Linked DNA regions of Astyanax mexicanus. The protein of the gene in region 1 interacts with the protein of each later gene in a pairwise test. Links are inferred from orthologs where the notes say so. Each region holds a gene or a part of one and is shown in the gene's direction. Other genes may lie near its edges.

Region 1 (6,935 bases):
CGTAAAAAAGGCAGTCCGCCTGTATGATTTTCTCCTGTCTGAGCGTGAAGATACTCTTCGTGGTCTCACAGATGAGCTGTCAGGAGTAGCTGATAACTTGAACAAGGTGTATAAAGGTGCAAGGATTGCTGGCATTACTGGTGGGGCAGCAGGGGCAGCTGGAGTGGCAGCTGCTGTAGGGGGCATATTACTTGCCCCACTGACTTTGGGTGCTTCATTAGCAGTGACCGCAGTTGGGGTTGGTGTGGCTGCTGCTGGAGGGGTCACAGGAGCCTCCGCCGCAATCACCAACAAGGTCAACAGCGACAATGACAGAAAGAAGGTGGAGAAAATCCTTCAAGACTTCACCACTGAGATAGAGGATATTGAGAACTGTGTGATGTTCATCAGGTCAGGGATCAAGTACCTAAACAGTCACAACCTGTCTGAGTTGCACGGGGTGGACCAAGAGGTGGTGAAGGTGGCAAAAGTGGCTGGTGTGGCTGGAAGAAATACTTTAGCCATCTGTGCTTTCAGCAAGGCCTCAGGTGTGATTCAGGGCTTTGCACTGGGCATGGACATCCACTTCACCACAAACGACAAGCAGAAGCTGAAGAAAGGGTCAGAAACCAAGTTTGCCAAGCAGATCCGTGAGGTGGCTGAGAAGATGAAAGCCAGCCTTGATGAGCTAATGAAAGTTAAAAATGATCTAAAATCTGCAGACTTGTAAAAAACAGGTTAGTTATGAACAGAAAAGCACGAAATGTGGGTTATCTGTGGATGAATACCCTAAAATCTAAGGTAATGTTTAGCCAGCATTAGTTCTCAAAAAATCAGTGACATTATGGGAGTGTTTCCCATTCCTTTTCTGGTGAGGCTTTACTGTAAATCTTACACTACTTACAATTTTCTTTTCAATTTAGTCGTTTCACCTCATCACACCTACCCTTCACACAATGGAAGTATCATTGAATGTCATTTGAAAGTTGAACACACTTGGAGGACAACCCTCTAGTCTACCTGAAGACATTTACATCAATTATGTTCACTCTCAGCCATAGGTAGATCTTGGGTTGCAATCAGTCATGAAAGCCTTATCCTACGGTCAGGTTGTGTTGATGGATAAACCTAAAGGTAAGCTCCACTTCTCCAGAGATCACAGTTCCATCATTATATAGTAGAATAATAGAGGAGTTTCCTTGAACCGCTCTTGCCAGCTATTGCATGGTGATATAAGGATTGTGTGTGAATGCTTCAGAGTGTCCCATTCTATTGTCACTGCTTTTCAATGGAAATCTTTCAAGTTGGATGCAATATTTGCATATCTGGATACTTTGACATTAAGCTTTTAATGTTAACTGGAACACTTTTTTGGAAAATCAAAATAGCGAAGCTTTCTAAACCTTTTATGTAATCAAATAAAAAAACGTTTATCAAAACACTATTGATTGTATTAGATATTTTGCAATATAATAAATACATTTAAATGAGGAAACTGTAGTCTTTTATTTGATATTTAATGTGTTGTGAGAATTAGACCCACACAGCAGAAAGGCAAGTGTTGAATTAACTCTCCAGTTTTTCTGGGCACACAGGAAAATTCCTCCTTTTTCAGAAGATCTTTGTTCAGCTCCTTTTTTTGGAATAGAGGGAGAAAACATCCTGTCCAGGTAACAATAAAGAAGCTGACTACAATGCCTTTTTTGTTTTTCCAGTATTTATCATTAATTACAACTTGAAACAATGTTATTTCTTATTACACTTACATTAAGTAAAGTGTCAGAACACCATAATCAAACACTGTACAAAATATATATTTTTTAACATTTAGTCTGAAGCAACACATTAATACACATAAAGAGGAATCTTATCCTTAACTTTAAAGAAAATTTGGTACATTTTATGTTAAGTACTTATTGCAATTGCATATTTAGCAATTAATTATATTATTTCACTTAATATTTCTTGCACTGTCTCCATATTTAGTTGAGATGAGGCTTAAGCTGTTCACCTTTTTATGGTAAAATATTAAGCCATTTTTAGAAAGTTATGAGATGCCAAAAGACAGTATTCTGATAATTATCCAGTTGGTTATGCCACTTTTTGCAAGAATGCAGGGAAGAGGTCAACATCAATGTGAAGTGATTTTTCTTGATTGACCAACATTTCTGAACCTGATTTTGTTGGCCTATTATAGAACTCACCTTGCCCAAAACATCATATTATGGGGTCAACCGTATCTATAGTGTGCATAGTATAGTATAGTATAGTGTAAAACCCAATAAGGCTATTTTATCTAAAATTGGTGAAACTGATTGATAAAAGTATAAGTAAGAGTAACTCAATTTTCAAGTTAAACTAATATTCTATATTAAATAGGTTTTAATAAGTAAGTTTAGGTTACACTAGCTTACGTTTTGTGAACAAAATAGATTTGTATTTCATTGTTTTTAATTGATCTAAGAAAAATCTGCATTTGAAAGACGACATAAAAACCAATAGAAGGAACACTCTAGCACACAGCATTAGCACCTTACCCTTACACCCTACAACAAAAGTTGATTTAACTATGTTTGAATACACAGAACCAGTCTAAATTATTCATATTAAAAGCATAAAAAATTAGGGGACTCATAAGGACCTGACCTGACCCTGACCTAAACCCAACTGAGATGGGTGATTTGGGATGAGCTGGAGCAGAGCGTGAAGGAAAAGCAGCAACTATTGTTTAGCACCTTCAGAAACTCCTTCAAGACACTGAAGGCTCTAAATCATGAAAATGCAAAGAGTGTGCAGAGCTGTCCTCAAAGCTAAATGTGGCTACTTATAGGACTCTAAAGAATAAAACATGTGTTGGTTTGTTTTTCACCTTTTTTTACAGTATAATTTGTATGTGGTCCTGGACAGCTTCAATATTAAAATTACAATGTAAAAAATCTAAAGAAAAAAAGAAAACGCATTGAATGAGAAGAGCTGTGCCCAAACTTTTGTGTCCACAAATGTTCACCTAACTCAAAATAGTTGAGTAGGCCTAATGTTTGAAAATAACCAATTTTAGACTTAATTTATTTGAGTTCAAATTAATTGTGGGTTTACAGTGTAGTTTATATGTGTATAATGATTACATGACAATAAAGCTTAATACAATAGTCAGAATTACTTTATTGTTATGCCAGGGAAAAAGGCCTAGAGGGCAGCCTTGTACCATTTCCTATTGTTGTCTGTGAGCCACTGAGGCCACGAGGCCATTAACAAAATAAATAGGACTCTTTGGGAGGAAATGTGTTTCCATTTTCTCATTTTAATGTAAAGAGTTAATTTAATAAACCGTAGCTATATAAAATCATGTGTAAGATATTAGTAATATCACTGTTTCAGTACTGATTTATTGATGTGTTGAGAATAGTTAGTTCGTAGTCTCGTGATATATACAGACGCTGCATTTACGTCATCTGTTACTGTGTGGTGTTTAAAGTGTAGTTTAGGATTTTGGGAAAGGGGTAAATTCAGAGATATTCTTATAAAAACTATATTATTTGTTTTTACAGGAGCAGGTCTTTAATGTAATTTACGTCTATTATGTTGTATTATCTCAAATAAATACTCAGTTCAAGTAAAAGTGTTTTAATTAACATGGTCAACAAAAGTCACTTTTTGTTAGAAAACCTTATGGTAATATCAGTTGTGTTGACGCTATAATATAATTTAATAGTAAAGTGTCGGAAATGAAAAAGTTGTGGTGTATTTATTATGTCGTCGCATATTCCTCCCCACAGCTCTGTTTAGGAACTATGTTTTTCCCCACGCGTCACACAACCTGGCGATCAGCTCCACCAATCAGAAAGAGATGCAGCCCGCGGAGTGATACCAGAATGTTTCGGAGGCGGAAGGTCATATGTGGGTGTTGTATGTGAGTATATAAGGTCATGTGACGCCCTACCGACGTTTTCGTTCTCTTTCCCTTCTGTAATACAACGCGTTGAGCTGAGAGCTCCCTGCTCAAAATGGCAGTGTAGCGGCTTGCAGCGGCAAAACTCGCAGCGGCGGATCCTGCAGTGCAACGGCGAATTGCACTGATTCTATTAGGCAAAATGGCGTAAGTATAATTTTGTATTTTTTAGTGATTTGAGGTGAGAGGACCGGATGACTGAAGTAGGCCGGCTAGCTTATGTCGTCGTTACCGGCAGGGGAGGAGTTGTCTTTGTTGGTGGGAGGTATAATGTTAAATGTGTCAGCTACCTAATAAAGTTATACATACAAAAATACCTACAATCGAGATTTAATTAATGTCAGGGTTGTACATTTATTAACCTGCAATGAGTCTGAACTTTACTTGGCCTTATTTACCGCCCCCGCCATTTGATACAGTTCCCGCCCTCAATATTTATTGTTAATTTTTTTAGCTGACGAACTGTAATTGTGCTTATAAAATGTACTGGGTTATTACTGTGGTATTATGTTGTTTGTGAGGGAGGTCGTGTTTAAAATGGACCAATAAAAACAAAAACACAGCTGTCCGCCTTTGACCAGACAACGTGGCACTATTCAAAATGGCGCACCAGCTTCCCTCCCTCGTGCTGGCTGTGTTGTGAAAATGGCGCGATCGCCAAGGGCACAGCCGCCATGAGGGAGGGGCATAAGGCGGGGCTTGGTGCACCGTGACCATATTAAGGAAACTTGTGACGTGTGGGCGGAGCGTTTTTGGCAGGCCTTGTGGTTGACGGGAAAGAAGAAAGACTGATTTAAATTGTCTTGGAGCAGAGTTTTCCTGTTGAAACATGAAACTGTTAAATGTTTGGAATTTACTTTGTGGGGAGGTGGTGTTTTTGTGTAGGTGGTAGGGAAGTATTTGAGTAATATTTGGCTTCTTTTCCTAATTCTATACTCATTCCATAAAAACGGGTCAGCATGAATTCAGTTTTGGACCAGTTTCAACAAAAAGTAGTGCTAATACATGATTGACTGGTTTTTATATATAGTTTAATTACAGTGCCTTGGGCGGTGTTGTGGTGACTGACTAAACGTGTTTGACCTGTATTGGGACATTTTCTTACGTGTTCACAAGAGAGCTTCATAATTACAGTGGGAACCACATAATGAGGTAGCTTGTATAAACCTGTTGTAGTTTTTTGTTTAAGTCATGTCTGAGATAGAGGTTTTACAAGAAGATTAAATGTTTACATGGTAACCTTTTTCTTTTTTTGTTTTCTGTTTTTGCCTTTTTTTTTTAGGTCCTTTGAGGCAACCACCCTCAGCTTTGCTGCCGTCGACAGCATACCAACTTTGCTCGACTCATCATCAGAACTCCTGTTCTCGTTGACTCTGTCACGACCCCTGACCAGCCACCATGTCTCTGACCTCACAGATGTGCATGGAGGACGTGGGGGCCCTGCTCTTGGGGCCCTCGACTCTGATGGCTGACCCCTTCGGGCCCCTTCTGGACGAAGATGAAGAGAGAGCTCTTTCTGAGGGGTCGTCTTCGCCCCTCTCCTTCTCTTCATACTCTGAATCTTACACCTCCTCCCCGTTCTCCCCCTTTTCGGCCCCTGCTCCTCTAGGGTGTAAAGTTGGGTCTGACCTGCTGCCGCTCCCCTGGCTGTCTGCTGGTGAGCAGATTGATGCTCATGTAAGAGCAGATCAGAAAGAAGGTAAGACTGGTTGAGCAACTTAAGCATGACACCTACATTTATGACCCATTCGTGTGAAGTGTGAAAACAGTGGTCACAAATTAAACAAGTGCATATATAAATTATATAAGTGAGAAATGGAAAAATCAGAATGCCAGAATTGCCATATGTTGTCACTAGCAGAGAATAACCCAAAAGCTTTTCTGTTGCAGGGGATGCGTTTTCTGGCATGGACTGGATGACAGAGAAGATCGACCTAAGTGACTTCGACCTGGATTCGCTCATCGGGTCCTGTGATTTAGATGAGCCCCCCAGCTCACCAGAAGAGCTGCTGGCATCCTTGGAGTCCCAAATGGATCTGGACCTGGCTCCCCTACCATTTCCCTCATCTTCACCCTCTGACCCAGAAGAGCTTGGCCTGCCTCCTCTTTCCCTTGACCTCCCACTTCCAGAGCAACCGGCAGACCCTGAGGTCCGTCCGGAGCCCATTCCCATTGAGATAAAATCAGAGCCATTGTCTCCTGCCTTCACCCTGGAACTGGGCAGTGAGGTGGACATCTCAGAGCTGGAGAAGGTGGTTTCCAAAACCAGTAGTGACCAACAGACCCCCAGCATTGTGCTGTCCCTCTCACCTGCTCACATTGTGGTTGTTCTTGCGCCCAAAGAAGAGGTGAGTGTCATGCCCAGTTCCTGTGCAGACCAGTCTGACAGTGGCATTGAATCAGTCTCTGGTTCTCCCCCTCACAACCCGAGTCCTGCACCATCCCCCAAGCCTGTTGGCACTTCCAGAACCAAGCCATACTCCAAGCCAGACCCAGAGGCAGGTGTCACAGTTGTTGGTAAAGTGAAGACAGTCACTGGGAAGTCTGTGGACAAGAAGCTGAAGAAGATGGAGCAGAATAAGACAGCAGCGACCCGCTACCGGCAGAAGAAGCGGGTAGAGCAGGAGTCCCTGAATGAAGAGTGTACTGAGTTGGAGAAGAGGAATCGTGAGCTGTCGGAAAAGGCTGACTCGATAAGTAGGGAGATCCAGTACCTAAAGGATCTTATTGAAGAGGTCCGTTCTGCCAAGAACCGCAAGAACAAGACCAAGGCTGACTCTCCCTGAGATGTAGGCCAAGATACTTTAATTAAAGATCAGCTCCATCAAAAAGTATAAAGTGTACTGAAAGTATCTTTAGTTTCTCACCCCCTCACAATTCACACACCCTCAATATTCACTGTATGTAGTTTTAACAGAATCAACTATTTTGTGTAATGTGAGCCATACAAAACTAAAATGGGCACATAGACGCACACAGAAACCTGAACAGTGGAAGGTTGTTGTCC
Region 2 (7,592 bases), on another chromosome or scaffold:
GTAACAATGCAGCACATAAACATTTATCAGTGTAAAACTTAAGTACTACTTCATTACTATACATCTCTGATGACTACGTTTTACATTCTTAATATTCACATACATTGGATATTAAACTGTTGTGGTCACAGTCAATAGGAGCTGAGTTCCTAACAATTACGTTAAAATATTAGACATTCTACTAAACAAGTTCTGTTTTTGCCCTTTCTAAAACACGGATACAGCCTCATATTCACGTTACCAGAAAGTGTTTCTAATCAGATTTTTTTTGCCTTAATGTGTATTAGGGTTGAGTGGACATTTCAAAGCCATCCAGACTTTTTCAAATAAGATTTGAATAAGTAACTTTTATATGTGGTCCAATATTGCATATCTATTCTATCTGTATTGTATCTGATTTATTTACTTTGCACACATTACAGGACCCATTAATCAATTCAGATTTTTCGCTCATATTAAAATGGTGATCTTGATGATTCACATTCATTAATGACCCTGACAGAATCTGACTACCTGACAGAATCTGACTCTGTGGCTGTTGTGAAGGAAAGTTTAATTATAATAGTTATTCATAAACAGAAACAACAGGAATCATAAGCATAATCTGTTGTGCCCATACTGCTTACTGACATGCATGCACAAAAAGTTCAGCACAACACTGGTGCTGGCTAATTATGATTAAAGCAGGGGCTTTAAAAAAAAGATGCATTAAATCTGATCTGGGCGTTCACATTTATGTTGTTTCCTCACAAATTTAATATGTATCTGAACACACGTGAAAAGTAGTCAAATCTGATTGTCATATTCACACCGCCCTAAAAAATCAAATCTGTGTCAGTTTGATTTGACACAAAACCTGATTTGAATCACTTCATCCTGGTAATGTCAAAATAGCTTTTTATTTGTGATCCTAGATCAGATTTCTTTTCTGATTTGGTGACATGCGAGATGATTGTGATGGTTATATTAGATTCCATGCACTGAATACACACACAGAATAGCAAAATCACGGTAGGGGTTAGTGTATTATTATATGAATATAATATAATATAATTGTACAACCCAATAGCACTTAGAGAACTCTTACTAAGGTCTCATAACTTAATTATCTAGGACTAAATATCTTCAACTATCAACAGCTACAAGACAATCAAAGCAAAGTGTTTTAAGGAAAGTATTTCCTAATTCATAAAAATAATTAAAGTAGTCAAGTTGAGAACTGCTTATTGGATTTCTGGAAAGCCTATTTCAACTCGTTTTTAAGACCTTAAAATTTCTGAAATATTTAGCATACTCTAAAGTAGTGGTGCGCCGTTCTACTGTGCAGTGACACCTACAAATATATGGAAGATGGAAGAAAAACTTTCCTTGCCACAAACATCAGATTCAGAAGTCTTTAAAAGAACACTTAAACAAGCCTGATGCATGAAAACATGCCCAGTGTACAGATGTAGCAATTTACTGTAATAGATATCTTGGCCAGGGGTGCCTTAACCTTGGCATACAACTGTAATTCACTGCACAGTGAATGACCAAATCTGTCCAGGCTTAACTACACTTACAAAACCCCAATGGTTCAGGGTAGTCCAACTACAGCTTTCTAAACTGCTGATAATGTGACATCATTAGACAGCTAAACACATTTGGATATTTGCAATTTGACCTAATTTTCTCCCCAAATTGTAAGGGCAATTACCCAGTCCCCATTTATTTGAACTCCCTCTATCACTACAAATGCCCCTCAACACTAAAAGGGTAAAGACTTACATATGTCTCCTCTGATACGTGTGTTATGGGTCAGAACCTGCCTCTTATCAAAATACCTCTGATGCAGCATCACTGGGGATGCACTCAACTGCACTCAGAGGAATGTGCAGCACCCGAGCTTCGACACATCAGCTAACAGATGCCTGTGCTGACCAACAACACATTAGGAACGATCTGGGAGAAAGGGCGACATCTACCCACACAGAGAGAGCAAGGTCAGTTGTGCTCTCTCAGACTCCGTCTGCTGATGGCAAGCACTATGATCCAATATTGGAACCAATGATCCTCAGGTCACACTGTCTGCTGGTCTCCCAATTCTCTAATATCTGCTAACAGATGCTTGCACTGTATAGTATTGTGCTAAATGATGGGGCAGAGCCAAATAACAAGACCAAAACTGCTAATATCATTCAAAAATAAAAGGAACTGATCTATTCTCTATGTTATAACAGTGTAGTATAACTTAAAAAAGGGATGCCGGATGGGGCTGTACTATTAACTAAAGCATTAAATTTTAAAATAATGTTATTTGTGTTGAACCAACCCATGCAAGTTACTGATACACATTTGCATAAATATGCTCTCATTAATAATATTTCCTATAATAATTACCCATCCAGCCCCACAGCTGTGCTGAAATTGGTGACTCTAAGTCAGAGTTGGCCCAGTAATGCATACTGGCTGGATATCTGATTACACTAGAGAATGTGTGTTTCCATCCGAATGGGTTTCTAATGGCAATAGGGAAATTCAGAATGTATTGGGGACAAAGTAAAGCATTTCCAAGAGTTATAGAGACATGCCCCCACCATCCCTGATTATTTTTTGCTAATTTTACCAAACTACACACTAGTCTAACCTCATGTCACCACTGTAAACAATAACAAAGGTAAATAATTCTTGATAAAATACAATGCGTTTTAGATTTATATTTTTTAATTTACAGCATTAACAAAGCTCATTATGTCTGTCTAGCATGGCAACGTTTCAGTAGACAGACAAAAATATTTTCTTTTTTTTTTGTTTTAACAGGATAAGCCCACCATTAGAATTTAAAATGAATTATATGGATGAATATAGTAGCAAGCAAGCCAGTTGGTTAGTGAGCAGCCTTTTCCAAAAATATATCACACCCTTATTGGTGGGCCAACCTTAGGTTTCAGAGCTGGTACTCTGTTAAAAGTAGAACTTCTTTGAGGAGGTTCTTCAGTTTAAAGCAGTAGAGGAACCCATTAAGGTGCTTTAATAAAGAGTTTTCTTCTAGAAACCTGCTTTTTTTTAGTCTGTGTTGTGCTGGTACATTTTGATCCAACATAGCTTACCAGCATAACAGCCTGTCTACTGGAATTTTGCTAAAGTATGCTATTTGTTGCAAATTTAACCACTGATTTAAGTGCTAGTGATGTCTGTCTATTCTCATATATTCTGGTTGCCAATCCATTAAGCAACTCCTTAAAATACTAAAGTCCTGTAGAGTGGTTCTGAACCCTAATGCTGGACTACAATGCAATATTGGTATTTTCCTACACCCCTACAGGTCAGTGATACTTCAGGAGCAGAAATAAAAATATTATATAGTGCTGTAAGGAACTTTACACAGCTTTTGAAGGGCCTGTGACACATACATCACGATAGCCTCTTTTGGATTAAGAACAAATGTGATTATTTACAATTAATCACAGAATAGTTTTTAGTCAATTAACATCACTAGAAAAAATCTATAAAAATTACATAAACATAATAGAAAAACAAAAAATAGAAACATATTGCTGGAGTAATGCCAAAGGCAATTTGGCAAAATAAACATAATAAGTCACCATCTGTCACCATCGCAGACAACAGGGAAACAGCTTAAAAATATTTTTATATATACATTTTTTATGGAGCCTCTATGGAGCCTTAAAAATATATATTAATTTGTGGCCATTGCTTATTAAGGCATGTGAACAAGATCCTAATGCATGGGAAAGACTTATTAAGGTGTCAGAACAAAATACAGTGCTGGAAAAAAAATAAGAGACCACTTAAAAATGATAAGTTTCTTTGATTTTACCAATTTGAAAACCTCTGGAATATAATCAAGAGGAAGCTGGATTATCACAAGCCATCAAACCAAGCTGAACTGCTTGAATTTCTTCACCCGGAGTGGACTAAAGTTATCCAAAAGCAGTGTGTAAGACTGGTGGAGGAGAACATGCCAAGATGCATGAAAACTGTGATTAAAAAACAGGGTTATTCCACCAAATATTGATTTCTGAACTCTTAAAACTTTATGAATATGAACTTGTTTTCTTTGCATTATTTTAGGTCTAAAAGCTCTGCATCATTTTTGTTATTTCAGCCAGTTCTCATTTTCTGCAAATAAATGCTCTAAAAGATTTTTTTTTGTCCGTAGTTTGTAAAATAAAAAAACAACGTTCATTTTATTCAAACATATACCTATAAATAGCAAAATCAGAGAAACTGATTCAGAAACTGAAGTGGTCTCTTCATTTTTTTCCAGAGCTGTAATTGAGTCATGGCCGTATAAGTTGTCCTTTTCTTTTCTTTTCTTTTGTCTTGTGGGCTTTCTTGTTATGCTCAGGTGGGTCGTGAGGTGGAAAAGGTTGAGAACCTTTACTCTACACAGTTCACTAACAGCACCGCTCCAGCTGAGCATAATTCACTCTCTATGATCTCATGACTCTCTTGTTACATAAACACGCCCTGAACTGTGTCTCACCGTCTGATTGGTTCAGCGGGCTGTCGGTCAAAGGCTGCATTTCGTCATCCTGCCCGGCGCTGAGCGCTGATTGGCTGAGCGGGCAGACTTCCCTACATGGTAAAAACGATTTCGCAATCCTGCCAGGCACGGCTCAGTGTACCAAACAATAACAGCTCCGCTGATGTCTCTGTCCCGTCAACTAGAGCGGCTACGAATTTACTCACGGTTTTAGTGGATGACTGAACCCAGGATCTGAACCTCGATCAGGTAAGACGGGTAGAAGTGTGTCTGAGGGGAGAAAGAGGAGAAAACCGGAGTGGAATTTTAAGTACAGAGATTCCTTGTAGTCCTATACTCGGTTAGCTAGCTGGCTAACTTGTGTAGCTAGCTGCTTGTTGCTAACCGGACCGCAGAACAGGTTTCATTACTGCTGCTTTACAGCAACACAACTTCTGTAGTTACAACGTTAGCTTAGCTAATATTATATCCTATACTTAACCTCTTTAATGACACTTACTCTAAGATTGGGGACTGTTGTAGGACACTAACTAGCTAGCTAAAAAACACGAGTTAGTTATTAGCTGGCTAAACTAAAGCTAGTTAGCAGCTAGCAGGGCTGTGTCTTTTGACGTAACTAAGCTACTGTATGTAGCTAGCTAGCCGTACTTATTGTTAGGAATGTGGCTAGTCTGCTAGCGGCTAACTGGAATGTAACATAGCTAGCTAACGCTAACTAAGCTAACCAAGTTCATTCCTGTGTTCTGCCGAGTTTTGCTCCAATGTCAAACTCTGCTACTCTAGTGTAGGTTCTATTGAAATGTAAAATAAATGACGTTAAATAAGTTAAATACAAAATAACTATCATAATACGTTTGTGTAGAACATTTGGATAGCCTAAATTAGTGTGTCTGAGTTAATAAAGTAAAGTTCATAATAATAAAAATAATAATACTAAATAATAGAGGTTACAAGAGTTTTTTTTCCTTTTTGTTTTTATATGAACTGCCTGTTATACGTTTATAACATTCTAAAAATCCAAGAAAAATAACAATAAACTAAGGTTGTGTAGGTTAATACACCCGAGTAAAACAGAATTATATATTTTTAATAATTATAAAAATGTAAGGGCAAAGGGTCAGCGCATGCGCAGTGCTGAAGGAAGTGCATATCGATGGGTTGCAGAACTAGACAGAACACCCCTTAACTTGTAAGCAGACAGATATAACTGTTAGACACTGATGTAAACTGTAGTTAGCTAGGTTAGGTAACACGTCAAATTAGTCATTAGTCACAATGTATTATTTACTTATAGCCTAGCTAAAGCTAACTAACGTTCTGCTAAGTATGTTAAGAACACAGTCTCTCTCTCTAATGCTTCATAGCTAATAGTAGGCTAACAAAGTGGCTAGCTAACGCAGCTAGCTAGCGGTATTCCCCGTAATTCCTGTGAAGTTACGTAGCTGTTAGCTTGCTGTGGCTGAGCTCTAATAGTGTATGACTAACATCAGCTCAGCTCAGCCTGATAACGCGCTTTATCGGTGCTTTATCAGCACAGCGGGCAGACTCCTTTAAACCCCGCAGTCCTTTAAACCCCGCAGAACCGAATCTCACACTCTGTAATATTGTTTTTGACCCGCCTGCAGAAAGTTCGCCGCTTCGCTGCTGTTTGTTACTAATTTTAAGCCACGCGCTGTGAGTGAGTGTGAGTGTGTGTGCGCGCGCGAGCGGAGTTTCCCTGAGCGCCGCGCGGGAGGGAGCGCGAGCGATGATGCAACCGCGAGCAACGTCTCGAGCGCGAGACAAGAGATACCTAGCAACATATGCGCGTTGCCTGGCAACATGGCAGTGATTGGTGGGCGCAGGTGGATGTGTGGTGTTTTTAAAAAGATGGGGGTTTTAAGCGCTTTAAGGAGTTGCAGTTGCTGTGCACTGAGGAGGAGCATCAGTTTTTATACTGTTTTTTCCCAGCAGATTCTTAAAAAAAAAAAAGACTAAAAATACTTTTACATAATTTGTCTTAAAATGTTTTAATCATCTATGGGAAAGTGTTGGTTATTACACCTTCCCATACCTTATTTATTTATCTACCTACCTAGTTATCGTAAATATAATGGTACATGGCATATCTACAGCTCTGGGGGGAAAAAAGACACCACTTGATGAGTTTCTTTGATTTTACCAAATTGAAAACCTCTGGAATAAAATCATGAGGAAGATAAATGGTCACAGATAAAAGCCATCAAACCAAGCTAAACTGCTTGAATTTTTGCTCTGGGAGTGGCATAAGGTTATCCAAAAGCAGTGTGAAAGACTAGTGGAGGAGAACATGCCAAGATGCATGAAAACTGGGTTATTCAACCAAATATTAATTTCTGAACTTTCTGAATATGAACTGGTTTTCTTTGCAATATTTGAGGTCTGAAAGCTCTGCATCTTTTTAGTTATTTTAACGATTTTGCATTTTCTTCAAATAAATGTGTTGTCCTTGAATAAAACAACAATGTTCATTTCACTCAAATATATATCTATAAATAGCAAAATCAGAGAAACTGATTCAGAAAATTAAGTGGTCTCTTAATTTTTTTAGAGTTGTATATACCACCTAAAAATGAACAACAGAAGGAGAGTAGCATCACTGTTTTTTCTGTTGTAATTTGAATCTTAATGAAAAAAAAAAACAGTCTATCCATTATGTATTGTAAACCTCAAAACTATGAGTCCCCTTAAATAGACTAATATTCTTATATTATGAATTTAATGCACATGCCAAAAAATGTGTGCTGTCTCTCATTTTTTATATCCAGTAAAAGCGTCAGAAAACTGATCTCCTTTGCAAGATGTACATGTGTGGCCTCCTTTATTAAATGTGGTTGTGATTTCTGCCAGAGTCACTTGTCTGTTTGCGTAGACAATTCAAGCCAGACACCTCCTCTAACAATCCTTACCGCTTTCTTACCACTGCACTATTCACTGTTAGCCCTTTAACTGGTTTTATTCAGACTTTATTCAGACTAACCATGGTACCTTTTTAGAGAACCAGCCCAGGATTGCACCAGTTTTAGTGTTTCCAGCCAGGAACAAACCTTTCTGATCTCTAGAACCTATTTTTTGTTGGTGGAAA
Region 3 (7,441 bases), on another chromosome or scaffold:
CCCTGAATCTCCCCGAATATGTTCGGGACTCAGACACAATCTCAATCTTTAAGTCTAGACTGAAAACTTACTTGTTTAGTTTAGCTTTTGGTAATTAATGTTTCTCCCTTTAGACAAGGCTGCAGATCCAGGGGTTCATGGACAGAGGGAATTCTGGTAAACTGAGATGCTGGTGCTGGTGGATGCCAGAGTTTCAGGGAGCCTCCGTGTCTATGTTACCTTCTGGCTCTCCCTTTAGTTAGGCTGTTTTATTTAGATCTGCCAGAGTCATTAGCAGTGTTGGGAGTAACGGCGTTAAAACTAACGGCGTTACTAACGCCCTTACACTGTAAAAAGTGTAGCCCTGCTCAAATTAAAAAAATTGATGTCCATTTGTTGCATCTAAACTATTTGACTTCACTCAATCTAAATAAAGTCAATTGTTACAACCTGATTATTTTATTTTGACATAAACCCTATTACTTCACTCGACCCAATATTAATTATTCACCTTGATCCAAGTTAAATTCTTTACATTTCAGTTTCGGAACCAAACTAATACATTTAAATTGAACCGAACTTAAAAAAAAAACATGGCAGCATATTCAGAAGTTCCAGAAGTTACTGTGGCGTGGAAGAGGACGGATTACCAGCGAGATTCGTTTCAGTGCTCTCTTGCTCTTTTTATTTTGCTCTGAGGAGGACACTAAGAGCTGGATTTACATGGGATTCCACTTTTGAAAGTGAAACTAACTACAGCTCCAACGCAGCTAACCCCACTCCCACACACAGAAAACACACAAAGGGTGAGGCACTTACACAAAACAACCACATAACTGATAACTACATGAATAATACTAGAACAGTGATAATAAAACATGACATGAAACTCTGGGATAAACAGTAACATAAACACGCAGAAAAACACCCACTTCCCCCAACAGGGTGAGCTCCCATAATTCCTTCCGCCCCCCCTCCAGTCCCGACGCCACAATACCATAAGCATGCGTTGCTATCTCGCGAGCGCGTTCAGGCACTTTCTCCCTCTCTCATTCTCTCTCTCGCGAGCGCGTTCAGGCACTTTCTCCCTCTCTCCCTCAGTGCTCTGAAGCACTTCTCTACAACTTCTCCCGTGCTCCACAGTGCGCATGCGCAATTCATGTTCGATTCAAATTAAAAATATTACATCCTTATCTCTTTTCTTCGAGTATGATTTCAGTGGAACCAAAACATTTGGTTTATTTCCTTCAGAATTGTAATTAATTTAGTCTGAATCAAAATTGACACATCAAAATTCAAAAAGGTTGAGTTTCACAATAAAGTCAATAATTGTACTATGTGTTCAATCATATTTATTAGCTTGAATGAACAGCTCCATGCTTCACTTTTTACAGTGTACTTTAACGAGTAATCTAACTAATTACTATGGCTGTAACTATAACGCCGTTACCATTTCCGACACCCCGTTACTGCACGTTACTTTAGCTGCTCTATGAACTTTTTTTTTTTAGCTTCGCTTTGCCCTGGTTAACCCCTCCTCTTTCCGGTGAACTTGAGTTTCTGGCCGCTGTGCCTGTGGTTTGGCGTGGTGAAGTGAGGCACAATTGTGACGATTTGCGTGCGTGGACAGCCCAAGTTCCGAATTAAGGACGTTAAGCTTTTTTAGCTGCTCCGGTTTTTGTGGTGCTGCTGCTTTCTCTTTTAGAGCTTAGATTCTCTGCCCGAACCCGATCTGAGGACCGACCCGAAATCGGGCTCCTATTTTTATTTTATATAAACCTCTGGTGTGATAATCACAATGTTGCTAAGTAACCAATTATTATTGTTCACTAAAGCGAACGAAATAGCGAAAACTGAAAGTGAAAAAAACATTTGTGTTAACTGAATCTAATAAAAACGATAATTAAAAGGAAAAAACATAACTATCTCGAACGGTATTTTGTGTTTATAAAACTAACTAAAACGAACTGAAATTACTGATAGAATACCCTCATTTTCGTGTTTAATTTATTTATAAGCGCTGTTGTACAACGGAGTTGTACAGCGGGAGGTGTTGTGCCGAGCGAGCGGCACCTCGTGGTCTGTTAGTTCTTGTGTAAAGCGCTCGCGCTAGCCGCAAAATACGACAAAAAACACTCAGAAACTGCAGAACTATGAATGGGATTACAATATGAGCGCCAGGCAGATGAAAGAGAAACAGGAGATACAGTGTGTGAGAACATTTACCTGTAGCTTATACCAGAACAGCAAATCTCTCTCTCTCTCTCTCTCTCTCTCTCTCTCACGTTTCTTAGATTGATCTCTCTGATGAGATGTGTAAAAACTAATAAAAACTAGCAAGCCCACCCTAAAAACTTACTGAACAGAAAAAATAAAAACAAAATCAAATTAAACTATAATAAAAATGAAAAATGTAATCACGTAGCTCTGGGCGCACGTGAACGCCTCAGCGTTTGACTGTAGCTGTTCTTAAAAATCATTTAAATTAAATAATCGTTCTATGCTTTTATGTTACAGTGTTAATTAACATAATTCTGATCATATTTTGCTCATTCAATCAGCCCGAAAACAGACAGTTTATGGGGCGGATCGGGTCGGGCTCATAATGACAGTTCATGGTTCGGATTGAGTCGGGCTCGGGCAGAATGTGCACGGGCTAGGGCTGGGTCGGGTCGGATTTTTTTTGGCAGGATCTAAGCTCTATTCTCTTTTGGTGAAGCTGTTATATTAATACCATTTTAACGGTCATTAGTTTGTTGTTTTTTGTCCATTATCTTGTTTTTTTATATATATACATATTTCCTTTGCGTGTGGCTTGGTTTGTTTAATTTCATCCCCAGACGCGTTTTTCCGTTTTTTCCGTTTTTTTCAGTATTACAAGTTTTAGTAATTTTCTTTGATTGTGTGGAGAATTTCGTTTTATTTTTTTGGAATTCGTTAGATTATATTTTTGTCAACATTTTGGGTTTATTTTCGTTTGTTATTTTTCTAATAATAATAGTAAATGCATAATTGATTTCCTTTTTTTTGACAGGCGAATAATAAAAAGTAACGCTATAGTTACTTTTACTGGTAACTAATTACTTTTATAGTGGAGTAACTCCGTTAGTACTTACTTTTTTGGAGAAGTAACGAGTAACTATAACTAATTACTTTTTTCAAAGTAATGTGCCCAACACTGGTCATTAGCCACACTCTGATAATGTTTTATATTCTCTGTTTTACATAAATCCAGTTAAAACTAATTCCATCTCTCTGCCTTCCTCCGAGTTACTGACTGCCCACCTGTCTCAGGCTCTCATGTCCCGCCAGACTGATGGAAGTTTCTGAAGTCAGCTCTTCTCCATCATACACCACAGATCAGCTGCTCATCATCCATCTTACTCTCCACTACAGATTACATCCTAGCCATTAGTGGCGCTATTATACTCCTGAATATATAAAACCTATGTGGATGTAAAGACTTTTTGAAAATAATTTAAAAGCCATTTGACCAGTGGTAGGATGCTCCCCCCTTAAATGTGAGTCTTGGTCCTCTCAAGGTTTCTTCCTCCTCCTGCAGCTCTGAGAGTTTTTCCTTGCCTCCGCGCTCACTGGGGGTTCTGTATTTTATATGTTTGTTTTGCCTGATTCTTTGTCCTGTGGTCACGTTTCTGTAAAGCTGCTTTGTGCCAACTCCAGTTGTAAAAAGCGCTATACAAATAAATTTGATTTAATTTTAATTGATTAAAATAAATATTGTAAAATTCCAGATGCTTAGTGAAACAATGCCACAGTGAATGCGTTCCTCAATCAAAGCTAAAGGTGGTCTAACCAAATATTAGGACATGTGACCTTTTTTGGGCCAGGGAGTGAATGTCTTATATTAAATAATAAAATATAATTTATTTATGTATATTGTAATACGTGTATCATGTTATTACTTATAGAGCTCTGAAAAAAAATGAGAACATTATTATGAGTTTCTTCGATTTTTATTAAATGTTTGCACCAGGAGTGGCATAAAGTTAACCAAAAGCAGTGTGTAAGACTGGTGGAGGAGAACATGCCAAGATACATGAAAACTGTGATTATAAACCAGGGTTATTGCACCAAATATCGATTTCTAAACTCTTAAAACTGAATGTTTTAACTGAATATGAACTTGTTTTCTTTGCATTATTTGAGGTCTGAAAGCTCTGCATCTTTTTTGTTCTTTCCATTTTTCTAAGTATAGAGTATGAGTGTAAATCACACAAAGTGTTACACAATCCGCCCTCTAAATCCTCATATCCTTTGGAAAAAGTGATGATTTTCAGTTTTCAGGCTCATATTCTCTTTGTGCCTGTGGTCAGGCGTGTTCTGAGCGCGTGGCGGACCGGGTTTGGGGTTCTGTGGAGCTTTCCTGAGAAGCCCACACTGCTGAGGCAGCCGAAAAGCGCCCAATGCAGCTTCAATGCACAAAGAGCAGCAGCAGCATGAGCAGCTTCCAGCCACAATGGTGAGGAACAACAGCTGTGGAACAAAGCCGCCACTTTCCAGAAGCCTAGGCCTCCATAAAGAGGCACGCGCTGGCAGCCGGTGCCGTTTCGCTGGGAGGCAGTGAGAGAGTCAGAGTGCTGCAGTGCAGCGATGTCTGTGGGCGAGTAGCAGTACCCCGTCAGATCACCAGAACCGGGACAGGCATGCCTCTGCCAAGACGCCGATCCTCCATCCTGGGCCAGACCAGCGCGGAGCGGCCGGGCGGTGTCGGGCGGGTGAGCGCGGGTGGCACCGCGGCGCCTCGGGGTGTATTCGTGGGCACCGCACCCCCCACCGTGACCCAAACGCCCACTAACCTGGGTGCACGCGTGTCCCGCAGGGCGCTGGGAATCAGCAGCGTCTTTCTGCAGGGCCTGCGGAGCACCACCAGTGCCCCTGTGCTGCCCCAGCCCCGAGACCGGGCCCACCAGCAGCTGGGATTCGACAGCCTCAACTGCTGCCTGCTGGAGTACCGCGACAAGGTCCGGGCCCTGGAGGAGCTCAACCAGCAGCTGGAGGAGCAGATCCGCAGCTACCTTGAGCGCAAGGCCTCCAGCGCAGAGACATGGGGAGCCCTGCGACACGAGTGGGAGGACGTCTACAGACAGGTGGGCAGGTGGGCAGGGCTGGGCATCAGGAGGAAACTGGGCTTAGTCCTGTTTCTGAGAGAATGTAGGTCAAAGTCGAGGCGCTTTAAAAGACATTGGGGGGCTCGGAGTGGTCCAGTGGATCAAGGCACTGTCGACAGAGGTGTCGGATACTGAAGAACAAATACTTCCTTACCTTACTTAAGTAAAAATGTTGGTACTCTATCTGGAGTAATAATTTTGATATAAGTTTTACTTCTACTCCCTCAGGGGTCGGCAATAGGCAGGCGTGAAACATTTGGCCCGTGAGGTTGTTTAAACTATAATGAACGATAATTAAAAATCAATACATTTTAATACATACATAAATAGTTAAAACAGGGTCTTTTTGGCTGTTTGAAAAAATTATAATAGAGTTAACGTTACCTCCATCACCTCTGAGCCGCTGTGTTATCCTAACGTTACTAACATTACCTTTATCACCTCAAAGTCCCTGTGCTATCCTAACTTCACTAACATTACCTTTATCACCTCTAAGCCGCTGTATCCTAACTTCGCTAACATTATCTTTATCACCTCTAAGCCGCTGTGTTATCCTAACGTTACAAACATTACCTTTATCACCTCAAAGCCCCTGTGTTATCCTAAAGTTACTAATGTTACCTTCATCACCTCAAAGTCCCTGTGTTATCCTAACGTTAACTCCATCACCTCAAAGACCCTGTGTTTTCCCAAAGTTACTAATGTTACCTCCATCACCTCAAAGCCCCTGTGTTATCCTAACTTCACTTACATTACCTTTATCACCTCAAAGTCCCTGGGGCGGATTTGGAAGTTGTGGGGTCTAAGCAATGTTTTTTTTCCGGGGGCGCTGATCAAATGGATTCTTTTTATAGCAAAATGCAATATTCAGTGTTCATACACCTTTTACAAGGTAAAATTCAAGCACTTTCAAGAGCCATTTAAAAAAATTTTTCAGCACCTTTCAGCTGTGGTAAATTAATGATAACGGTGATATCTCAAAACTGCATTCAGTGATAATCAATATATGCAAAACTATTCTCCACACTTTACAGCGATGCTACTGAGAAACAAGTACATAGCAAGAATTATGGATTTATTGGTGTCAGTTTCACACAATTTAAATACCAATGTTCTTCACCGCATGTTTACCCTACACACTAAGAAAAGTAAGTACGGATTTGTACTTAAAAGAGTACAAAGCTTGTCGCTGGGGCTGTACCTTATATTGAGGTACAAAAAAGTACCTTTCAGTGAAAGTCCTTTTTTGTACCCATGGTTTTTGTGCCAGTAAAGATTATAAAGATTATAAACATTATCATCAACTAAATATGGCTCAAAAATTTGATGATCCAATTTTTTCTGGCTTTCAAATGAAAAATGTGCAATTAAAATATTTATTGTTAATTAGTACAGTGATACAGAATACTGAATGTACCTTTTGTCTGGTTAAATGGTACAAATTTGTACTTATTGCTGTTAGAAATTACTTTGTTCTTCAGAGGGAACAAATCTGACCCTGTAAAGACCAATATGGTACCATTGAGGGTACAATTATGAAGAGTGTACCTTTGAGTACAAAAAAGTACTCATATCGTACCTCTGTTTTTTAGAGTGTATTCATTTGATTGAGCAGTTACTGTATATCAAATTTGGGGGTGAGTTGAGAGCATTTATACACACATATACTCAACATTATTGATTTGCTTTTTGTCACACTGTGAACACAACCAGAATTGTGTTTGGTAATAGCAGGAGATTAAATTAAAGCAAAATAAGTTATGATTCTAAATGAATCACCTGTGTAGAATATCCAACTTGATTGCGTCAAGAATGAAACTACGACACAAAAGATCACTAGGCAAATAACCTTTAATCATTTTTTTACTGAAAATGTCCTCTGGGCATCGCCACGTTCCACCACAGCGCTGACGCCGGGCAAACAGCCCTGGAGATCGGCTCGTTCCACAGCGCTGACGCCGGGTAAACAGCCCCGGAGATCAACTCGTTCCACAGCACTGACGCCGGGCCCCGGAGAGCCCGTGAACTTTGTCAAGTTTTCTGTGCTGGACTTCCTTTCCTTAAGTTTCGTTCTTTTTTGGGCACCGCTGCACTGTAAAAAATGATTTTTTGACTTTGTAAATACAACAAGGACAATTAAAGTAATTTCTACATGAAAACATCAATTCTGAGAATTACTCAAAAATGTAATGTATAATTCAGTGTAATACTTGGAGTTTCTGCGTAATTGTGTGTCTTCCCATTTAGTTAAATACATTCAGTAAATTTAACTGTAGTAACTGTAGTAAAAATTACTGAAATGTTGTCATCATTACATTAACTAAAGAAATTCA
Region 4 (7,992 bases), on another chromosome or scaffold:
ACAATTGTTCTTAGTTTTTTTGCGATATATTAGTATTCAAAGGCGTTTAAAGTATCAAACCTAAATATAGTTAAATATCTGTGTTAGCTAGGTTAACTAAATAATATCTAAATATTATTTTACGCTCACATCTTTAAAGTATGACTAAATCAAAAGCATGTTTTTGTCTCATTTAATTTAGGGTTAAGGTTTTATTAAGATACCCATTAGCTATACAGATCATCGGTTATTTAAGACAAAAAAGAGAGCATGCTATGGCTAACGCCATTTTTTACTCGAAATAGAGCTTTAAAAATCTATTATTATACACAAAAAGTCATCTATTTTTCATGGTGTCCAGTCAAAATATTATAGAAACAAACGGAAAAAAAAACATGAGAAACAACTAATTTACAGACTATACAACCTATATGCAACCTATATACAACAGACTATACAATGGAATGACTTATAGCATATGTTGGATTCACTGTTCTTACTAGGGTTGCAAAGGTGTGGAAAAATTCAGATACATTTTTCTGTAATTTACTAGTAACTTTCCATGAAATCTTTAGCTCTGTAAGTTTGGAACTATTCCAAATTGTAAACTTTCCATAAAATTGTTCAGAACTGTAGATTTATGGGAATTTATTGGAATTAACATCAAATATTGGATAATTCAAAGGAACAAAATATACAATATTGTCAATGCAATGTTTGTATGTGAACAGCAGACATATAGGCAACACAATAGAAATAAAGACTATGACATAGTAAGTTGCAGAAAGAACTGCTTTTTATGAATGCTTTATAAGTGGTAATCATTTTTTTTATTCTTTCATCAAACAGTCATCATTTATATAAAAAACAATTAAAATAACTCAAGATTTTGTATCAGTATATTTTTTACCAATTATATGTAAGTTTCTCACTTTATCTTCAAATATTTCCGTTTTATTCCCATTAACTCAAGTTAATAGCCATAATAAAATGTCAAACAAATTTACAACCCTAATTCTTACTTACAAAATGATAGCATACAAATAATTATTTTAATATACACTGAGTTTTAACAACAAATAAAATTTAATATTTTAAATGTCATCGTGTGTTATGTGTCTTATGAATGGTGTTTACTGGACAAACTCCAACTGAGCTGTTTTGTAACCAAAGGCAAATTTCCATTTCAGGCTAATGCAATGATAAACTTACTTATTGACTATTTGATGCTTTTTATATGCTTATGTCACTTATTTGCCAAACGGTATAATCACTAGCTGAGTAAAACATTTTGCAGGTTTCTATTTTAGGACATTTCTGTTTAGTTAAATAAAGTGTTCCTTCCATTATTGTTATATCAAAGGAATGGTTTTATAGGAACATATCCTACTGCAAGCTGTCCCATTCTCTTCCAGCTTCCAGCAGCTTCAAATGTACAAATGCATGGTAATCATATTTCTGTGCTCTAAACTAACCCAGCTGTGGGGTTTTATGGCTGTGGTTTAAAGTTGATGATTTATGAGAAGGACATATGAGTTTGAATATGTTATTTTAAGTGGTTGTGTTGGTGGTTGTGGTTTTTACCCTGAGGCCTCAATAACCTCAGCTGTTGGGTTAAATCATTGTGTATTCAGTGTACAGTTTTCAGGCGCCATCTGGTGGTTGACATAGTATCTACTTTAGAGTGCAGCGCTTAGGCCAGTGTTTTTTTTTTGCTTATATCACTGTCTATTCCACTGCCTGGTAAAAAAAAAAAAGTCTCCACCTGGATTTAACTAAACAAATGATGTGGTGTTGCTGAATTTGATCAGGTGTAGGTTCAGCAACAGTATGTGCTGAAGGAATGAGGACAGATGACTACCTGAATATACTGAATATAGACCAGATCACTCCATAAATGGATTTTTTCTTCCCTAATGGCACGGGCATATTCCAAGATGACAATGTCAGGATTCATGGGGCTGGAATTGTGAAATAGTGCAGAGTTCAGGGAGCATGAGATCATCATTTTTTTACACTTGGATTGTTCATCACAGAGTCCAGACCTTAACCATATTGAGAATCTTTGGGATGTGCTGGAGAAGGCTTTGTGCAGTGGTCAGACTCCACCATCATTAATGCAAGAAATTAATGCAACACTGGATTGAAATTAATCTTGTGACATTGCAGAAGCTTATCAAAACAATGCCATGATGAATGTGTGCCACAACAAAAGCTAAAGGCGGTCCAACAAAATATTAGAGTGTGTGATCTTTTTTTTTTGGTGGCAACCAAATCTTTGATGGTCAAGGTGGTTAAAAAGCTGATCATTCATGTAAAAACACACTATATTGCTGGTATGATAACTGATTAATCATTCTTATGTTAGATTAGAATCTGCTAAGGCTTGGTTATGCTGATCATCAGCTTGGGCTTGCTGGTCATGTAGAGCTAAGTTAGCCAATTAGAAAGATGTCCTGTGGTATCTGGTCCTGGTAGCTGATATCTGACATCAGCAGATCCATAGTCCATAGTCTGGATCTGCTGATATGGAACCAGTTTATCAATGCTATTCACTTTACCTGTCAGTGGTTTAATGTTATGATTGATTTATGCAATTACAAATCAATCATATTAACTTGTGGCCTAAAGGAAAATGTCACTAAGGTGGTGGTTGGTTTTACAGTCGTGGCTTGCCATCTAATGGTCCCAAATGATTATAAGAACAGCATTAATACAGAATTTAAGTTGTTTTAGGATATTTCACAATTATAAACCAGATTTGCTGCACTAAATGCAACATCTATGGTAGAACTATGGCCCTGAAAGGAGATGCTTCCTGATCTGTTTTCTACAAAATACAGTATAATATCATAATCTTCTATTTCGGTGTGCGCTGTGTTTTCAGCTCTGCTGTTCTGACTCATTGTGTTCACTGTAGGAACGGCTGCAGAAACCTGATTTGCATCTGATAATAGAGAGTAAGCTCAGATTGTCCAGATTTGTCTGGACTGATTTTGAGCACTGTGAGCTCTCGTTACTAATTACTGCTCTGATCAGAACACTATATAGAAAATGTAAGTTCATGTGGGGAATGTTAAAGCCTTTCTCAGATCTATATTACTGCTCGTGTTTTTAGACATCTGATACAGTATATACTATAATACAGTGTACACAATAATATGCACTTTATATCATCAAGCTTGTTTTGAATATATGTGCATAGATCTGGTATACATATGTAAGTATTACATAATTATGTAATATATATAATTATGTATATAATACACATATTTGTATATTTATATTTTACATAAATATTTTAAATTAACATATAAGATGTTTTAATTATAGCATACTTTAGATATGTAGGAAAATATATATATCCCTTGTTTGTTGTAAAAGGACCAATAGAAATGCTCCAATATTACATTGACTTCCACTGAAAATTAGACACATTTTGTCTTGTACTGTAAGTTGACATTTTGGAGGTACAATGTTTTTTATGTAATAGTGGTGACCCAGATAGCAAAAGGACATCGGAATTCAATGTTCATTTTTCTATCGCTAATACGTTAAAACAATGTTGATCTCTGACCACAGAATTTATTTATTTTTTGCACATCGATTTTACATTGATTCAACATTATTTTTAAAGTTATGTTTTTTTACTTACATTAAATATGTATACAATATTTATTTTCTATTTGTATAGCATGCCCTGTGATTGGTAGGAAGCACCTTTCACCTAAAAGCAAGGTGAGTGTAGAAGATCTTAGCCCAACCTTTCAAAACCTTCTAAATCAATGTCAAAATTTTAACATTAACTGATACCTATTAGGCAATGTTAAATAAAGATTAATTTAAGGATATCGTTCCATAATCAACCTTAATATACATATAATGCAACCAGTAAACTTTTATTCTTTGCTATCAGGGAATGTTTCATAACATACTGTTAAACATGTGTGTTACATATATATGAAACACAACTGATTGTTTAGATCATTTGATTTTGATAATGGCTTATGTTAACAGTATGTATTTTTTTGCAATTTTAATAACAGGGCTTAGTTAGGGCTTGTCCCCAATTGGTAGGTGATGTAAAGTTTACTTTTCATTAATAAAGGTTGTAGGCATTAAATATTGGATAGTTGTTTAGTCTTATTATTGAGTTTTATTGAGTTTGTTTAGTCTGCATTTTGAATTGTAGTTGGCAAAATAGCAAAGCTCATAAAGCTATTTAGAAATGCATTACAATTTGAGGCTGTTAAAATGTTAACTGTTATATTAACAAAAACATATATCAAATACATTTAAAAACGATCAATTTCAAATGAGCTGTCATCTATATCACACTTATTAAAGCAATACATTACAAACATATTATGTGTATATAGAGGGACTCCATGTTTTCTGTGGAGTATATATCATATTGTTTAAATAATTGCAGTGGGAGCGTTTTCACCGTTGTCAATGTTTTCTGCCTAACGTCTCAGAAACGTTTTCTCAGTTCTCAATTTCTCAGTGAAACACGTGGAACTGAATGACTTTCTATGTAGGGCACACTCAATGCAATGCTCATTAAACTGTCCCGTATCGTTTAAATGTTTAATACGCGTGTAGCGGGATGAATTATGCAGAGTGTGTACTGTAACAAGACCAGTGGCCAGCAGGCAACAAGTGCGCATGACTAAAGAACAAGGGCACGAGCTGACTCTGCGAGACATTACAAACCTTATCAAAACGATCTGAGGATAAAGGTGAATGAGCTATGGTGACCCACTGCACATGGAATAAGCTGACTTTTGGAGTAAACGGCATTTTTATCTAGGAATTAGAAATCTAGTCTACGACTAATAGTGCACAAATAACAAGTGTGCACTAAGTAGTGTACGACAGCAGCGCGTCCTGTGCCCAGCAGGCAGTGAGGCGACTCTCTTGCCCCGCCTCTTTCTAATATTCACCAATCAGAGCAGACAGTGGCCCTGGGCACGTCACGCCGAAAGTGGTGACGTGGTGAAGTTGGTTAGCAAATACAGCCGAGACAGCAGCGACGAGTAAATGAGAATTCGAGCTTCTCTGCGGCTCCGAACGAGATAAAATAACCTCTAACTGACGGACTATGGATGTTAGTTGTGTTTCTGTTGAATGGAGTTAAAGGTAAAGGGTTTGGGCTCTGTGTGTGTGATACGGAGATGCTAACTGAAGCCAATAAAGCAATAAGGACGCTAACCTAGCTTTAGCTTAGCTAGCTAGCATTAGCTTAACCGAGCAGCTGAGATGGTCTGACGACCTTAATAATCCTTCTAATAAACCTGACAACCTTTTATTTTATCTCTCTTAAAGTTATTTAAGCCTTCTTTGTCGCCTAACAAATGAATTAAGCTGTATATCACGACTGTTCTATAGTTAAAGCAATAAGCAGGTAGGTTAGCTACTTAGCTAACTAGCATTGTGAGCTATTGGTTTCTCTGAGTATGTCTAGGTTGGGTTAATACAGCACAGTCAGTCTCAGTCAGGTTTGTGTTTGTCTGCTGTTTTTATCAGTTCAGTGCCAAACTGCCTTCAGTCTGTCTCATTTATAAATCACTGGAGTCAGATTTGAGCTGACCTGCCTGCTGTCACGTCAAGTAAACATTATGTTGGCCTTTGTTAAGCCTTACATTTGGCAAGGCAAGTTGCTGAATAAGCTGTAATCAACAATTTGTAAATTAAAGGTGTTCTTCTGCAATATTGTCAGTTTTGCTGCATATTAGAAGTGTTATGTACAGTGTTAGAAAGAATTTGACACTTATAGAGTCCCTAAGGTGTCAAAAGTAATATTTAGAGATGTAAACACTTGCATAAATTTAACAAATCGTTCAGTTCAGTTTAGAGGGAATGCTTTAGTTAAACTGGGAAAACAAGTATTAAATCAATTCTCAATTTTTTTAGGGAAGCAATGATGTGGGAAATATGGGCAAATATCTGATTTGTCATTGTACAGATATATAACTTACAGAGAGACTAGACACCCTGGTATAACTTTATAACTTATAACTACCAGCGTTGCTTGCTACAGTTATAATATCAGCAATTATCAGTTTGTAATGTCAGGCAATAACAATATAATTCAGATATCATCATGCACCCCTAGTTTCTTAATTTAGGAATTTAGGAATGATAATATAAATTTGATAGGATAGTTCAGGAAAAAAGATTGTTTTTATTTCCTTTATTTTGTACTAATACCTTTTTGGGTTTGTGGCTCTGTTTCAAATTAAATTTTATTATTTTATATGTTTTCAGGTAATTATTAGTTAAAAATTTCATCTTGCATCTCTAATCGAAATTAAGTGATGTTGATTCACACTATATTGCCACATTTATTTGCTCACCTGCAATGCATTTGTTGATGCAAGGCTTTGATGGAGCAGTGCGACCATGGAAACTAATTCTATTAGGCTCTCTATCCTCTACTGTTCTTAAGCAAATTGGAAGGCAACATGGATTTTGGAGGTCTGTAGTGATTGACTCTGGTGGAGAAAGTTGGTGACCTCTACACACTATGCTTCTCAGTGTCTGCTGACTCCACTCTGTCATTTTATGTTGGCTTTCTCAGTCATTTCCCATTTGTTGTAATATTACTTAAATTTCACTGTGGAACACTTAGTTGTGAATTTTTTTTATGACCGGACTTGTTGCTTAGGTGCTGCATCCTAACACAGTACTATGCTGGAGTTCACTGAGTGACCCATTTTTTCACTAATGTTTGTAGAAGTAGTCTGCCTGCCTAGGTGCTTGATTTTATACACCTGCGATCATGGAAGTGATTGGTTTGAGTTCAGTAATTTAAATAGGTCAGCAAATACTTTTGGCAATATAGTGTAAAAGCTTACATTCACATTTAGATTTCTTGGTTTAATGTGACAAAAATCTGTTTTCTAGGCTGTATGGGACATGCTAAATCCAATTGCACAGTTGTAAATTCAGTGCATATGAAGTTTATATATATTGTGTCTTGCAGAAGAGAAAATCTGACAACAGACAGCGATGAAACAGCTGCATCCTGCATGTGAAGCACCTTAAAGAACGTTGATCTGTGGGAGAAGCCCAGAAGGATTGTTTTTTTTTGGACTTGCACACAGCAGTAATGTTTGCGAAGCTAAAGAAGAAGATAGCAGAGGAGGCGGCTACCGGTCCTCGCACTGGACGCATGCCACGATCCATGAGCAAAGAGTCCATCACCTCGGTGGGAGCAGACTCTGGGGATGACTTTGTGAGTAAATCTCCTCTTTATCTCTTTCTTCCTTTCCCTCTCCCATGTCTTTTAGTCTTCCCTCTCCCATGTCTTTTAGTCCCTTAACTGCAAAAGCACAGTAATTTTAGAACTGTGAGTTATCAGTTCAGACAGACTCAATAATTTACAACTAATACTTAAAAAGTTTCAATATTGTCACATAAAAACCTTCCAAAATAGCCTGTACTGCAGAAAGAAAAAAACCCTTTTAACTTCAAAATTAAGTCTATTTAAAAAAGATTACAAGTCGTTTTGGACTTTCTGACATAATGTAAATAAAACTGGCAGATTATATCAAACGGTATGGATACACCAAATATTTAGCAACTAAAATGATTTGGCAAAAATACAGATTCCATTTTGGCTGAATAAGTGTAAAGACAAAATCATTTCTAATCAACAATTATGTTTTTGATGACGCAATCAAATGCAGCCAACATGTTTTTGATCTTTGGCTAAATGTTTGGTTCATTTGGTTCATTCTCATTGATTTGTGTGTGATGGCAACAAAATAAATCTTTCTTACTGTATTCTTTAAATGTAGATAATGTGTGGTTAACCCCCATATAAATCCATGCAGTAAAACAGTGCTGGACACTGTATGACAATATGACACTAAATCAATATCACAAGCAGTTGGATAATTTTACCTTTAACAATTCATGTACGAAAGACATAAATAGCTTTTTCTCTGGTTACAAGCTGATTGAGTTGCTAATTTTGGCTTAGTGTTTGAGCTCTCTATGTTGAAG

What was found.
Region 2: the proteins of atf4a (region 1) and cebpg interact in binary tests that used the Homo sapiens proteins (3 or more experiments, as listed by UniProt). The link is inferred for Astyanax mexicanus from reciprocal best matches to the Homo sapiens genes ATF4 and CEBPG.
Region 3: the proteins of atf4a (region 1) and bfsp2 interact in binary tests that used the Homo sapiens proteins (3 or more experiments, as listed by UniProt). The link is inferred for Astyanax mexicanus from reciprocal best matches to the Homo sapiens genes ATF4 and BFSP2.
Region 4: the proteins of atf4a (region 1) and golga1 interact in binary tests that used the Homo sapiens proteins (3 or more experiments, as listed by UniProt). The two-hybrid records come from large-scale screens. The link is inferred for Astyanax mexicanus from reciprocal best matches to the Homo sapiens genes ATF4 and GOLGA1.

The regions. Positions count from the first base shown.
Region 1 is NC_064412.1:31,403,389-31,410,323, forward strand, and holds the start of atf4a (cyclic AMP-dependent transcription factor ATF-4), read left to right. Parts: upstream 1-3,917; 5' UTR 3,918-4,075; intron 4,076-5,210; 5' UTR 5,211-5,326; coding exon 5,327-5,627; intron 5,628-5,818; coding exon 5,819-6,714; 3' UTR 6,715-6,935. Other genes in the region: apolipoprotein L6-like, read left to right, coding at 1-709. UniProt on the Homo sapiens protein: Transcription factor that binds the cAMP response element (CRE) (consensus: 5'-GTGACGT[AC][AG]-3') and displays two biological functions, as regulator of metabolic and redox processes under normal cellular conditions, and as master transcription factor during integrated stress response (ISR).
Region 2 is NC_064430.1:12,451,214-12,458,805, forward strand, and holds the start of cebpg (CCAAT/enhancer-binding protein gamma), read left to right. Parts: upstream 1-4,587; 5' UTR 4,588-4,738; intron 4,739-7,592. UniProt on the Homo sapiens protein: Transcription factor that binds to the promoter and the enhancer regions of target genes. Binds to the enhancer element PRE-I (positive regulatory element-I) of the IL-4 gene. Binds to the promoter and the enhancer of the immunoglobulin heavy chain.
Region 3 is NC_064415.1:47,381,265-47,388,705, reverse strand, and holds the start of bfsp2 (phakinin), read left to right. Parts: upstream 1-4,418; 5' UTR 4,419-4,643; coding exon 4,644-5,087; intron 5,088-7,441.
Region 4 is NC_064419.1:30,653,558-30,661,549, reverse strand, and holds the start of golga1 (golgin subfamily A member 1), read left to right. Parts: upstream 1-4,970; 5' UTR 4,971-5,087; coding exon 5,088-5,121; intron 5,122-6,888; exon of another isoform or gene 6,889-7,088; coding exon 7,089-7,219; intron 7,220-7,992. UniProt on the Homo sapiens protein: Involved in vesicular trafficking at the Golgi apparatus level. Involved in endosome-to-Golgi trafficking. Mechanistically, captures transport vesicles arriving from endosomes via the protein TBC1D23.